Ovis aries: one gene and its partner. The protein of the gene in region 2 purifies or fractionates together with the protein of the main gene of each other region. This does not show direct contact. Links are inferred from orthologs where the notes say so. Each region holds a gene or a part of one and is shown on either strand. Other genes may lie near its edges.

What was found. Proteins that work in one complex are often made in the same cells at the same time.
Region 1: the proteins of MYH9 (region 2) and SPTAN1 fractionate together in Homo sapiens (co-fractionation; 3 studies listed by BioGRID and IntAct, with this or other methods). This does not show direct contact. The link is inferred for Ovis aries from reciprocal best matches to the Homo sapiens genes MYH9 and SPTAN1.

Annotation. Positions count from the first base shown.
Region 1 is NC_056056.1:7,773,710-7,779,732, forward strand, and holds part of SPTAN1 (spectrin alpha chain, non-erythrocytic 1), read right to left. Parts: intron 6,007-6,023; coding exon 5,929-6,006; intron 5,821-5,928; coding exon 5,665-5,820; intron 5,450-5,664; coding exon 5,245-5,449; intron 4,738-5,244; coding exon 4,556-4,737; intron 4,201-4,555; coding exon 3,957-4,200; intron 3,765-3,956; coding exon 3,642-3,764; intron 3,114-3,641; coding exon 2,896-3,113; intron 2,165-2,895; coding exon 2,072-2,164; intron 1,488-2,071; coding exon 1,353-1,487; intron 300-1,352; coding exon 151-299; intron 1-150. UniProt on the Homo sapiens protein: Fodrin, which seems to be involved in secretion, interacts with calmodulin in a calcium-dependent manner and is thus candidate for the calcium-dependent movement of the cytoskeleton at the membrane.
Region 2 is NC_056056.1:180,361,385-180,367,195, forward strand, and holds the end of MYH9 (myosin-9), read right to left. Parts: coding exon 5,751-5,811; intron 5,075-5,750; coding exon 4,966-5,074; intron 4,862-4,965; coding exon 4,689-4,861; intron 3,530-4,688; coding exon 3,397-3,529; 3' UTR 1,965-3,396; downstream 1-1,964. UniProt on the Homo sapiens protein: Cellular myosin that appears to play a role in cytokinesis, cell shape, and specialized functions such as secretion and capping. Required for cortical actin clearance prior to oocyte exocytosis. Promotes cell motility in conjunction with S100A4.

The DNA.
Region 1 (6,023 bases), about 170 Mb from region 2:
TGGGGGAGAGTACACCTTAGAGCGCAGATGGGCATCGGGAGAGCACTCGCCCTGGAGCCTCAGCTCAGGGCGGCCTCCGCCTCAGCCCCTCAGGACGACGCACGGCGCAGACCTCCGCTGGCCCTCTGCCGCCACCCGCGAGGCCCTTACTGGTTGTCAATCTGCTCCTGCCGCAGCGCGATGCTGCCCTGCTCTTCCAGGAGGTTCTCCCGGGAGGCCGACTGCGCTGGGTCCAGCTTCTTCACGTAGGCGGCCGGCACGAAGCCCTGCCGGTCGTTCACTTCCACTTTCCACCAGTCCTACAGGGAAAAGAGACTATCTCCATGGCAAATTCCTCCCCTGACGGAGGGAGAACCCAAGGAGGCCCGTGTACACACGCATGCACACATGAAGAAGAGCTCTAGTCACGGCATGAGGATCCCGTGACGGTGCCAAAGTCACCTGGTGTGAAGATGGGAATTTTGATCCCCTCGTGACCTGCCGCGTATAGGGAGGGTCATGAGTGAGGCAGCCATGACTTTACTGGAGCAGGAAGGCCACCTTCTCTTCGCACAGATGCTCCAGGACTGTGCTAACACGGCAGCCTCGAGCCATACTTCAGGAAATTAAATAAAACCTCAGATGCTCTGGGACCTCTGAAGCCCCTCATGGTCACCTGTGACTAGTGGCTTCTGTGGGGCCAACACAGACACATAGTCTGCCATCACCGTGGCTTCTACTGGCGAGGCTGCTCTGGAGTGAACCAGAGTCAGACCAGGCAGTTAGCTTAGGTTTAGAGTCAGCAGACCGACACTGGCCAGTGTTTCCTCAAAGTCCCACGACCAGGTGAGCTGAGTGGCTGGGAAGAGGAGGTGCCTAACACTTCTCCAGCCTACACTAAGACAGGGGGCAGGATCCTGGGGGGGCTCGTCAGATGATGGCCTCATTCCAAGGCCATAGCCAATCAGAATGCGTTAAGAAAGACTGATGAACCAGGCAGCACTGAACTTGGAGAAGATGAGGAGGCGGAGCCTACAGGGTGACGCTGAAGCCTGTTTTCAACCCTCTGCTGCGGCCCTACAGTCTAGAACCAACAGGTGCCAGTGACAGAGAAGCAGACTTCAGCTCAAAAGAGAAAAAAATTCCACTTGGAAGTGGTCCTTGAGAGTAAGGGTCACTACCCTAGCTCTCAGGTATTTACGGAGACAGGCTGGTCATCTCAATCACAGGCAAAACAGTAAACCCACGTGACATGGGAGACTGACCTGGAAACTCTAGTAACTTTAAGTTTTAAACCAGCCACATCCTGGAAAGACAAGCTCCCAAGACACCTAATATGTGGAAACCAACCCCCTGTCATCCTCTGTGCTTGCCTTGTTGGTGCTGTTGAGTAAGGTGAGAATGTCTCCTTTCTTCATGGTGACCTCTCGGGGACTCTTCTCCTGATAGTCATAGAGCGCCAAGACCAGCTCCTTCCCAGTCTCGTCATCCATGGGGGCCACTTGTTGCTAAAAATTCAAAGGAAGGGCAAACACAGTTATGGGATGTCTCCAGAGTGCCGTCTCAGCCACTGCAGATCCCAGCCTCAGCAGGAGACCCACATCCATCAAACATACACTGGTGACAGTTCTCCTCTGAAGCCACCAACAAGATCTGACTCAGGAAGCTCAGCTGTCTGGGACCTTTAAGGCCACAGGAAAGTCACCTACGGGGGCTTTCCTGGTGGGCCAGTGGTTAAGAATCTGCCTGCCAATGTAGGAGACACAGGTTTGATCTCTGGTCCAGGAAGATCCCACATGCCTTGGAAAACCTAAGCCTGTGCACTCAACTGTTGAGCCTGGGCACCCCAACTACTGAGCCCACACGCCCTAGAGCCTGTGCACCACAACGAAAAGTAGCCCCCGCTTTCTGCAACTAGAGAAAGCCCATGAAGCAATGAAGAACCAACACAGCTAAAAATACATAAATAAAAGAACGTCACCCAAGATCATGCCACCTGCTGTCAGCATCTGGGTCTTTTGGCCTCCCTGCTCCCTGGCCCCGACCCAACCCCTGGGATCTTGCAACTGCTGACATGAAAAGCCTCACTTACCCGGCACGACTGGGCCTGCTCTCGCAGGGCCTGGATGCTGCTGCCATAGGCGCTGAGATCCGACATCAATGCCTCGTGCTTCTTTAGCAGAGCCTGAAATCCAAGTCACACACAAAGCGACCCTGAGCAAGGAGCCAGAGCAGCCCCTCTGCCTCCCCAGCATGCCGTCTGCCTCTTAAATCTGTTTAGCTACCTGGTGACTTGATGACTCTCTCTCCCTTTATTTGATAAACACTTAGCGTGGAGAAAATATCATGTTTTCTATTATCTTTTCATCCATAATTATGCAACCCTTGAAACAGACGAGGAGTCATAAAGAACACTGTCACATGTACAGTGATCCACCACCCATCCTGAGAATTCAACACTCCTGCTAAGTGGCAGCTGGGCACATGCCGCCCTCCTCCAAGAACCCCCTTCCCACCACCCTCCGTGCTTCCTACTTCTCCAAATCCTATCAGGTCGGGTCAATACTCAGCTCAGGACGGTTTACGTGAAGACAGGCAAGAAAAGGCAGGCACGTGGCTACACCTAGATCTTTATGAATAGAATTTAAGAATTCCATTCAAAAAAGATGACTAAGAAAAAATTGTGCTTATGTACACATAGGTATACAGAAAAAATGAAGTAAGATCGGAGACATGGGCATGGCTAACAGTGAAAGGCCAAGGCTGCCTTCTCTCTTTTGTGAACATAAGAGAACTACCAGAGAAAAGTGGAAAGAGATGCTGAAACACCTTAAAAGCCATGAGACTGCACTCTGCACACGTGGTCATCCTCCTAACCAGCCCCAGCCCGAGCCCAGTACCCCCGGCATGCATCACCTCGGCAGAGTCCTCATCTTTGCCATAGTCGGTGCTGCCCACGATGGGCTCCTTCTCCCGCATCCAGGACTCGGCCTCGTTGGCATCAGCGAAGTACTGCTGGGCCTGCAGCGAGTCCTCCAGGTCCTGCCGTCGCTGGGAAGCTTTGGACTTCAGCGACTCCCACTTCTGGTTCAGTTCATGGAGCTTGGCCTTCACGTCCTCGGCAGCAAAATGGCCTGTAGGGCGGGCAGGGGAGGGAGGACAATGAGAAACATGGGGACAAACAAGGTCCTCTGAGCGCTCACAGCCTCTGTGACACTATGTCCAGGGAGCCAGGTCCCTTCATGTTCCTAGTTTTATATGAGGCCCAGGTTCCAACCCTTTAACAGATCTCCTCAGACCACGATGTCTATCTAGACTCTAAGCAGACAACCTTAGTTGGCATTAGTAATGTCATCATTAACAATAAAACCCACAGCCCCCTCTGACCCTCTGTCATGGAGACTCGTTGCTGGGCACTGTCTCAGGCTCCTCAGTATCTGACCTCATTCACTTAGTCTTCTCAACTGTGGGAGAAGTTGAGAAGTTGGCGGGGGGTGGGGGCGGGTGAGCTCAGGCTCAGAAAGGTTATGGACTAGTCAGGGTCACAGTCAGAAGATTGTAGGGGGGGCAGTCTTCAACCCCTAGCCCAGCCTGCCCTGCGACCATGCACTTGGCAGGTGCCACGACAAACGAGAACAAAGCCACCTCCTGACGACACTCACCCTCCTCTACCATGGCGTTCCCCTTCTGTGTGACTGCTTTGATGCGGGGCTCGTGGCCAGCAATTTCTGCTTGTAGCGCTTGGTGTTTCTTTAGCAGGTTCTGGACTCCAATTAAATCTTTGCCTGAAAGAGAAACCACTCCCAAGTCAAGAGAAAAGTCAACTCCATCACTCTCAGCTGTCCCCACAGTTTCACTTAAAAACCCAGTTCAACTGAAACCTGACTTTGCTCATTCGGACATAGGTCCCCCTCCTGGACCCGTGTAAGGGTAGGCCCTTTCCTAACTGGACTTCCGTCTGACAGAGGCAGGCTGACCTCTGTTGGTGGAGGCGGCAATAGGTTCTTTCTCCCGAATCCACGTCTCCTCATCCTCAACGTCACGGAAGAGCTGCTGCAACCGCAGGGAATCGGCCAGCTTCTGCTTCCGGGCAACCATGGGCTCCTTGAGTGCCTCGTAGCGAGCTACCAGGGCCTCCTGCTTCTTCTTGATGTTTTCAGCATCAAAGTGGCCCGCATCCTGGAACTGGCGGGCTTGGATAGTGATGCCATCGATGCGATCCTGGAGACGGGAAGGACAGAGTGTTGAGAGCCTGGCCTGAGGCCGGCCAAGTGCGTTCTGGACATCTCTCGGCTGACATTCTTGCCTCAGGCGTGGTTTACTCTCACACCAAGAAAATGCACATCGTCATTTCCCCACGCTCTGGAGTGCGCTTCCAGCCGCCCTTTCCCCATTTTGGGCTCCCAGGAAGCTCCAAGGGCAAGCAGACCAACCTGAACAGAAGCCAAGTGGTGCAGCCACGATTCTCTAGGGCATCGACACACTTCATCCCCCACCCCCGAACCGGTTGGCCTTGGCTGATCAGCCTCTCTCGCTCCCGTGCCCACAGCCCCACATCCGCGTCCAGGGCCTGCACCTGGTGAGCGGCCACGTCAGCCTCCAGCAGGGCATGCTTTTTCTGGAGGTTCTGGACGTTGGTGAGGTCTTTGCCGTAGTCATCCGAGGCCAGATGACCTTCCACTTCGTACAGCCACAGCTCGATGTCCTCAACATTGCGGTTAAACTGCTGCTGCTGGTTAGCCTCACGGAGCTTTATGCCTGGTCAAGGAGGCAAGGTTGAGTCTGTGAGTATCACCCTTCTGCCAGTGCTGCCCGTACACAGCAGCACCTCTCGAAGGATCACAACAGGGCAGGGTTTCAGTGACGCCTTCACGTCTATCACAATGTGAAGGAAAACTGCAAGCTCGGCTCTGCCTTCCAGATGCGGAACTAGAATGAGCCCCATGGGTTAAGTGCTGATGAATGGTTAGGTGCCCTCGGCTCACAGCTGACCTGTTCTAGTGACGAGGCCCCAGCCAACCAGGGCCACTGACCAAATCAGCCCCTCCTCTCTCAGGCTCCCCGACCAGCCAGTAAACAGTCACATCCGCCAACCCTGCACATCATTAGGCACCCACACAGCTGACTCCCTCAGGAAGTGAGCCCCAGTGCCCAGTCACCTGGAGCAGCTCACCTAGATAGCCCAAGTACCTAAACCAGGGAACCAGGGATGAGCATTTAACTCTCTAAACCTCCTACCACAACCCCGTGCATGCCTCCCCTCACCTTTCAGCTCCGTGGCCTCCAGCAGCTTCTTCCACAGACTGATAACTTCATTCATCCGAGTCGCCACCTCATCCTTGGCATAGTGGTCAACGTCGATCAGCTTCTGCCCAGCTTTCTCCAAGGCGTCGATGCGGCTCTGGTTTGCTGAGAGCTCGGCCTCAAAGGCCTGGTGCTTCTGCACTTTCCCTTGTAGGTTGGATGGGTCCTGCCAAGAAAGAGGTTCTCTCTCGAACCACTGGACAACAAGTTACGCTGCACTGCACTCACACATATCTTCACAGGGGACATATGAAACCGCCAGTTTACATTCAGTAGCGTGTTTTTGAAATTTCCAATCTCTTTCTTTAACTACATCTATCTGTAAGGGTGGTGTCTGGCTTACAGACCAATGGCTACATGACACTGCCAACAGGATCTTACTTTATAAGCTTCATCTGTGGCTGTTTTCATCTTCTCGTTGACCCAACTCTTGAGCTCATCAGAGTCACGGAAAAACTGCTGCAAGTGGAAGGAATCTGCAAGCTGGGCACGGCGGTACATGGCTCTCTCATGGAGGGCGTTGCGGCGGCTCAGCAGCTGGAAGGCAAGGGCCCCTGTGAGTCTCCACTCTCACCCCTAACTGACCTGCCTTGGGAGGGACACCCATGGATGGAAAGGAGGCTAGTGAGGAAGTTGCGCACTCACTGCGTCTCGCCGGGTGGCCACATCTTCCATCGCGTAGTGGTTGTTCTGAATCAGCTTGGTGGCAAACTCATCTAAGGCCTAGGAGGAAGAAGAGG
Region 2 (5,811 bases):
TTTTAATTGTCCACATGCCCATCCTTTCCATTAGTAGTCAAGATTTAACTGATAAACTTCTAAAAACAGACTCTTCCAATACCAGAAATCACCAGTGTCACTGGCAAAGCCCACTGGGGTCCCCAGGAAAAATAAGATGGAATCTAGGTGATAAGGTCTACCCTCTTTTTTTGTGATTAGTGTAGTTTGACTTAGGTACAGAGGGCCCTGTGCAGGGGCCTTGCACGTAGCACATTGGATTAACATTCTCAGCACAGAACCACTGGGCCAGACACTTGCCAGCCATGTGCAGAAGCCGGCTTTTGTGTTCATAACCATAGTCTGGATGCAAGATTTGGAATTTTCTGGAAAAAATAAGCAATTGAGCAGAGTTAGGGATGAAGAGGTCTCTAATGCCAGCAATCAGAAACCACTGGGAAAGCTGATTGCTCAGTGGAGGCAAATGAAGAGGTGAGCACTTGCAGGGACCAGGGTGGATGGTCCACTTTAGGGGCCAGCAGTGAGGAGGGATGAGCAGGGGGAACAAGAGAGGCTTGATGAGGGGAGGCATTAGCATGCTTTAGGCTACACAGACACAGGTGGATGCCTGGAGAGGGAGCCAGGACCCCTCCCTTCCACAAGGGACTTTGGAATCTGCAGACCCTGGGCTCTCATGCTTGTGCATGGTGGGCGGTCAAGCAGCCGACTGCTCCCTTCCTCCTGATGTGCAGCGGCGGGCACCCCCCAGCACTTCCCAGGCACAAGGTGAACAGCCAATCCACAGGACCTCAAGGGGGAGAACTAATATTTGTGGGTCCTGTACTGAGTTAAATGGTGGCTCCCCAAATAGTATGTCCACGACCTAATCTCTGCAACTGTGTATTGACCTTAGGTGGAAACATGTCTCTGAAAATCCTTTGAGTGAAATATCTTGAGATCAACATTGATTACCTAAATCCAATAACTAGCATCCCTATAAGAGACACAGAGACAACAGAGAGTAGGTGGAGAAGGCCACAAAGAGACAGAGGCAGGATGGAGGGGTGCAGCCGCAGCCAAGGAACGCTGCAGGCACCACCAGCTGAGAGAGGCGGGGAAGGCCCCCAGAACTTCTATAGGAGTGGCCCCCGCTGACAGAAAGAAGGGCCCCAGACTCCAGTGCTGGCCCTCACCCACCTCTCCCACCACCTCCTGCCACTCCTTTCCCAGGGCCTGAAAGTGCACCTGCTCAGAGGCTGGACGGGTCAGCTGTTGGAGGGCCTGGCAAGCATCCAGTCTAGGAGCCTGCACCTCTCCTGAGCAACCAGGCTGGGCAAACAGTGACCTGGGTTGGTGGGGGAGAGGAGGCCTGCATTCAGATAGGCTGCTAGAGTCCACATCTTGAATCAAGTGCGAGCCCAATCCCTTCTCTAAGGAGAGCCTTTTTCTCCCTCCCCTCTCACCCACAACTGCAGGGACATCTGTCTTTACTGCCCTCACACTCCCAGTGCCTGGTGAGGGGCCTGGTTTCCACCCAGCCTTTGTTGAAAGAATGAACAAAAGCTGACAGTCCTTGGAAAGCCTCTGCCCCAGCACCCACAGGCTTAGGCACCAACTCCCTCATTCCTTCTTCTACAGCCCCTGGGACGAACCTCCAGAGGGCAGGCTTTGCCTTGTCTGATGACTAAGGAACCTCAAGAAGCTGGCGTCTCTAGCCCCTGAGCCAGCTCGGCGTCCAACACATAGTACATGCTCAGTAACTGAAAGGAATCAAGATTTATAAGACACTTGTAGCATCCTTGAATCTGGCCAGCCTACCTTTCTGCATGACCACTACCCCCTATTAAAGCCTGGCCCCAACCATGCTGCACTCCTGGAAGCTTCCAGAAATCACACAAAGGAGGTACCTGCTGCAGAAGCAAAGCACAGTCCCTTCCAGGGGAGCCCAGATACAGTGCCCTCTAGGCCACCTGCTCCCGTGCACAGACAGCCCCCAGACACGTGTCTCGTAGCACAAGGATCTCTTTATTGTGACGCTCAGTGGAAAACATCTGTAAACCAGCTCACTGTAGTGGTGACAGCTGCAACCATGCTAAGGCACTTTCATTATATAAAAAAAGGGCGGGGGTGGGAGTTCTGTCCACTCCTTTGTGACAGCAACTGGGACCTGAATTCAGAGCTTTTTAGGCATATGTAGCTTTAATATATCTTCATGATTTCTTGAGAGTTTGTTTCCTTAAAAAAAAAAAATGCCTTCTTTGCCATAAGTAAGTCTAAATGCAGCATATACAGAATAGTTAGGAATACAAGGAAATCCAGCCACCAGTGTAGACCAGTGCAGGACAAGCTGCTCTCTCCTAGACGTGCTTCTGAAGGAAAGGCAGTGATGAAGACTGGGAATTTCATCACTAATTACAGTGAGAGGGAGAAAAGACAACAACGTTTTCTGTTTCTTTTAAAAATGTCTGTGCAGACGGCAGCGTCTTGAGTTATACGGAGTCAACGGTGCTGATCAACTACCCTCGGGCCCCAGTCCTGGCCCTTCCCACTGCTCTGGCTGTCAGACTCGGGACAAGTCCATTAACCATTAAATATATTTGGTCCCCAAGAGTGTTGGGAGAGGCCACTGCTGGCCTTTCCAGCTTGGCCCCTAGGCCCTGCCTGCTCAGCCCAACAGCCCCGCTGCGGCAGGGATGGGCTGCCCTGGGCCAAGGAGGGGAAGGGGTCATCATTGCACTTGAGACATTTGAGAAGCAGGAAGGGGACAGTGGCGCTGCCCAGCGGGGTAGGGAGGAAGGCCCTCCCCTCCCAACCCCGGCATCCTGTGCCCTGCACAGAGGTGGACCCCCTGGGGCTGCTCATGTTGGACCACCCAGAGTCCACGGGAGCAGGGGGGCCGGTGGGGCAGAAGGTGTGAGGTCACCGAGTGTGATTGCCAACAGCAAAGGAGGGAGAGGGGACAGCTGGTGGCGGTGGCGGAGGCGGGGGGGGAGGTTACAACTCTTCCTGGGGCGTTGGGCTAGCGAAACTCCTTAGTCTAAAGAAAAATAGATTCATAGAAAACTCTCTTGCCCATCCCCGGAGGCCTGCTCCTGCCCTCCTCGCCTCACCGTCTTGTGCTCTGTGGCGAGAAGGCGGGAGACCCGGCTGGTCGCTCTGTCCCTGGGCCCGGGCCCAGGACCCTGACTCTTTGGTATCAGATTCGGGGTGGGGGTGGAGGGGAGCAAGGGGGCTGCAGCAGAGGAAGCCGAACGCCCTCAAGGAGGCCTGGGGGACAGGCGGGGTGGTGAGGGGGGGCCTGAGGTCCCCAGCCTGGGGGGACAAGGTGGGGTCACAGTCACAGCAGTCCCCAGAGGGAGGAGGGGGTGCTGTGGGGGCTGGGGAGGGGAGGCGGAGTCGCTGATGTCCGTCTCCAGGCAGCAGGAGAAGAAGAGCCAGTTACTCGGCAGCTCTGGCCTCGGCGGCTTTGGCCTCTGCCCCGTCAGCTTTGCCATCCATCTCATCATCCGAGCAGTCACTGGCACCTTTCCGGGCCATTCGGCGGGGCACAACGAACGGCAGGTCCCCACGCCTGGGGGCAGAGGTAGCGGTTAGCAAGGCTGGCAGGCGGCCATAGCACAGCTCATGTGTTTCAAAGCAACATCAGAGGAAGACTAGCTCCTGACATCCCACGGGGAGAAGCAATGGGGCGGGGGGCCTCAGGGGCAGGACAGGAGGGCTCACGATAAGGGGGTGACTGAAGCTTCCTGCTCTCACCCCCAAACACCAGCAAAAAATTGTCAGGTAATAGGGGCTGATTAAAAGGAGGCACAGTGGTAAAGAATCCGCCTGCCAATGCAGGAAATATGGGGGACATGGGTTCCATCCCTGGGTCGGGAAGATCCCCTGGAGAAGGAAATGGCAACCCACTCCAGTATTGTTGCCTGGAGAATCCCACAAAGGAGCCTGCTGGACTGCAGTCCATGGGGTCGCAAAGAATCAGGCACGACAGAGCGACTCAACAACAGAAGGAGGCCCAAGAGCAGCAGGAGCCACCTCTGCAAAACACCACCCTCTGGTCACACTTGGTACCAAACAGGTGAGATCATGAGACAGAGGCCGACAGTGCAGTGCACACAAACGGGCATCTCTTCCAGTCCCGGATAAGAAAACCAACAACATACACACTGACTAGACTGCTGCTTGTATGCTTGAAAAAAGAAAAAGGATCCCTGGGAAAAGGAGGTCAACAATGAGAATGTCGACAAAAAAGGCCCTCTGCCTCAACCATTTCACACTGCCTGATCAGGACACTCCTTTGAGAAATGCCAATCAGCCCTCTCCACCTGATCAGTGTTGGAAGATCGACCTGAGCTGTGCCAGAGACTGGCTGGGTGGCCTTGAGCAACTTCTAGTTCACAAAACCTGAAAACGTTCTCAGCGGGCTTAAGGGCCGTGACAGGAACAGACTTTTCAGGCAGGATGGGAATCAATCACCCAGAGAGATTATTCAAAAGGCTGGGCTACAGCCTAGGAGGCCGGAGAACCAGGAAGGACTCTCTGACAAGCACCCTTCTGGTGTCAGTAAGTGCCCTGCCCACTGACAGGGCTGAGAAAGGGACTGAGTTTACAACAGCCTCATGATGAAATTCTGCTTTTCAGGACAAAGGAACTTTTTGGAAGAGAAAGGGTCACGTGGCGGGGTGGGTGTGGGTGAGGGAGTGGGGTGGGGGGCGGTTGGCGGGGCTCACCTGAGCTTGTTCTTGAGGGAGCTGACCTCGCGGTTCATGGCATCCGCCGTCTCAGTGGCATCCTCCAGCTCGCGCTGCAGTTTCCGGCGGGAGGCATTGGCCCGCTGGGCCTCCTCCTCCGCCTCCTCCAGCTGCCGCTTGAGCTGCTTCAGGCGGGTGGACGCCTTGTCCGCCTGGAGGGACGCAAGGCCAGGGGCCCAGGTCAGGACTGCACGTGCCAGTGGCCCACCCCGCCCTCAGCTGCCTTGGGGCAGGGCCCTGCTCCGCCCCGGCTCACCTGGTCCTTGTACTGCTCAGCGTTCCTCCGCTCGTCATCCACCTGCAGCAGCACGTCCTTCAGCTTCTTCTCGGCCCGACGCACCTGCTTGCAGGCTGCCTGGCGCTCCCTGCGAGGCACAAACACAGTGGCTCAGGGGCACCCGCTCTTTCAGAGGGTCTGGTGGACAAACCCACAAACTGGGCCACCCACATCTGGGTCTCACTGGCCTGTCCCCTGTAGGGAGGCCTTGATCAATGCTCTTATGAAGGCATTAGGATTGGTCCCATTTCACAGATGAGGAAACTGAGGCTCAAGGAAGTGACACATCTCAGAGAGCACAGATAAAGCTAGAAAAAAAAAAAAACGACTGACGCCCATTAGACCCGGGTTCGATCCCTGGCTTGGGAAGGTCCCTTGGAGAAGGGAATAGCAACCCACTCCAATATTCGTGCCTGGAGAATCCCATGGACAGAAGAGCCTGGTGGGCTACAATCCATGGGGTCGCAAAGAGTCGGACATGACTGAGTGACTTTCACTTTTCACCCCTAAAGAAGTTTGTCTTGCTGAGCCCACAGATGGGCTGCCCAGGGAGTGGGAACTACCACCTCTCTCTGATTCAGCCCTGAGTCACCAGGCTCAACTTTAGAAGTGTGCCATGGGTTCCTCTTCAAACTCTAAAGCCCTAGCAAAAGGCCCCAGGGAAAAAGATGAGAGCCCCCCCTTAGGACAGGGGAAACAGCATCAGGGACGGGCACACAGAGAAGCCCGCAGATGGTGCTGGGTGGCGGGCGAGGGACACCCACTTGGTCTCGTTGTCCAGCTGCTCCTCCAGCTGTGCGATCTTGGCCTCCAGGGCAGTGATGG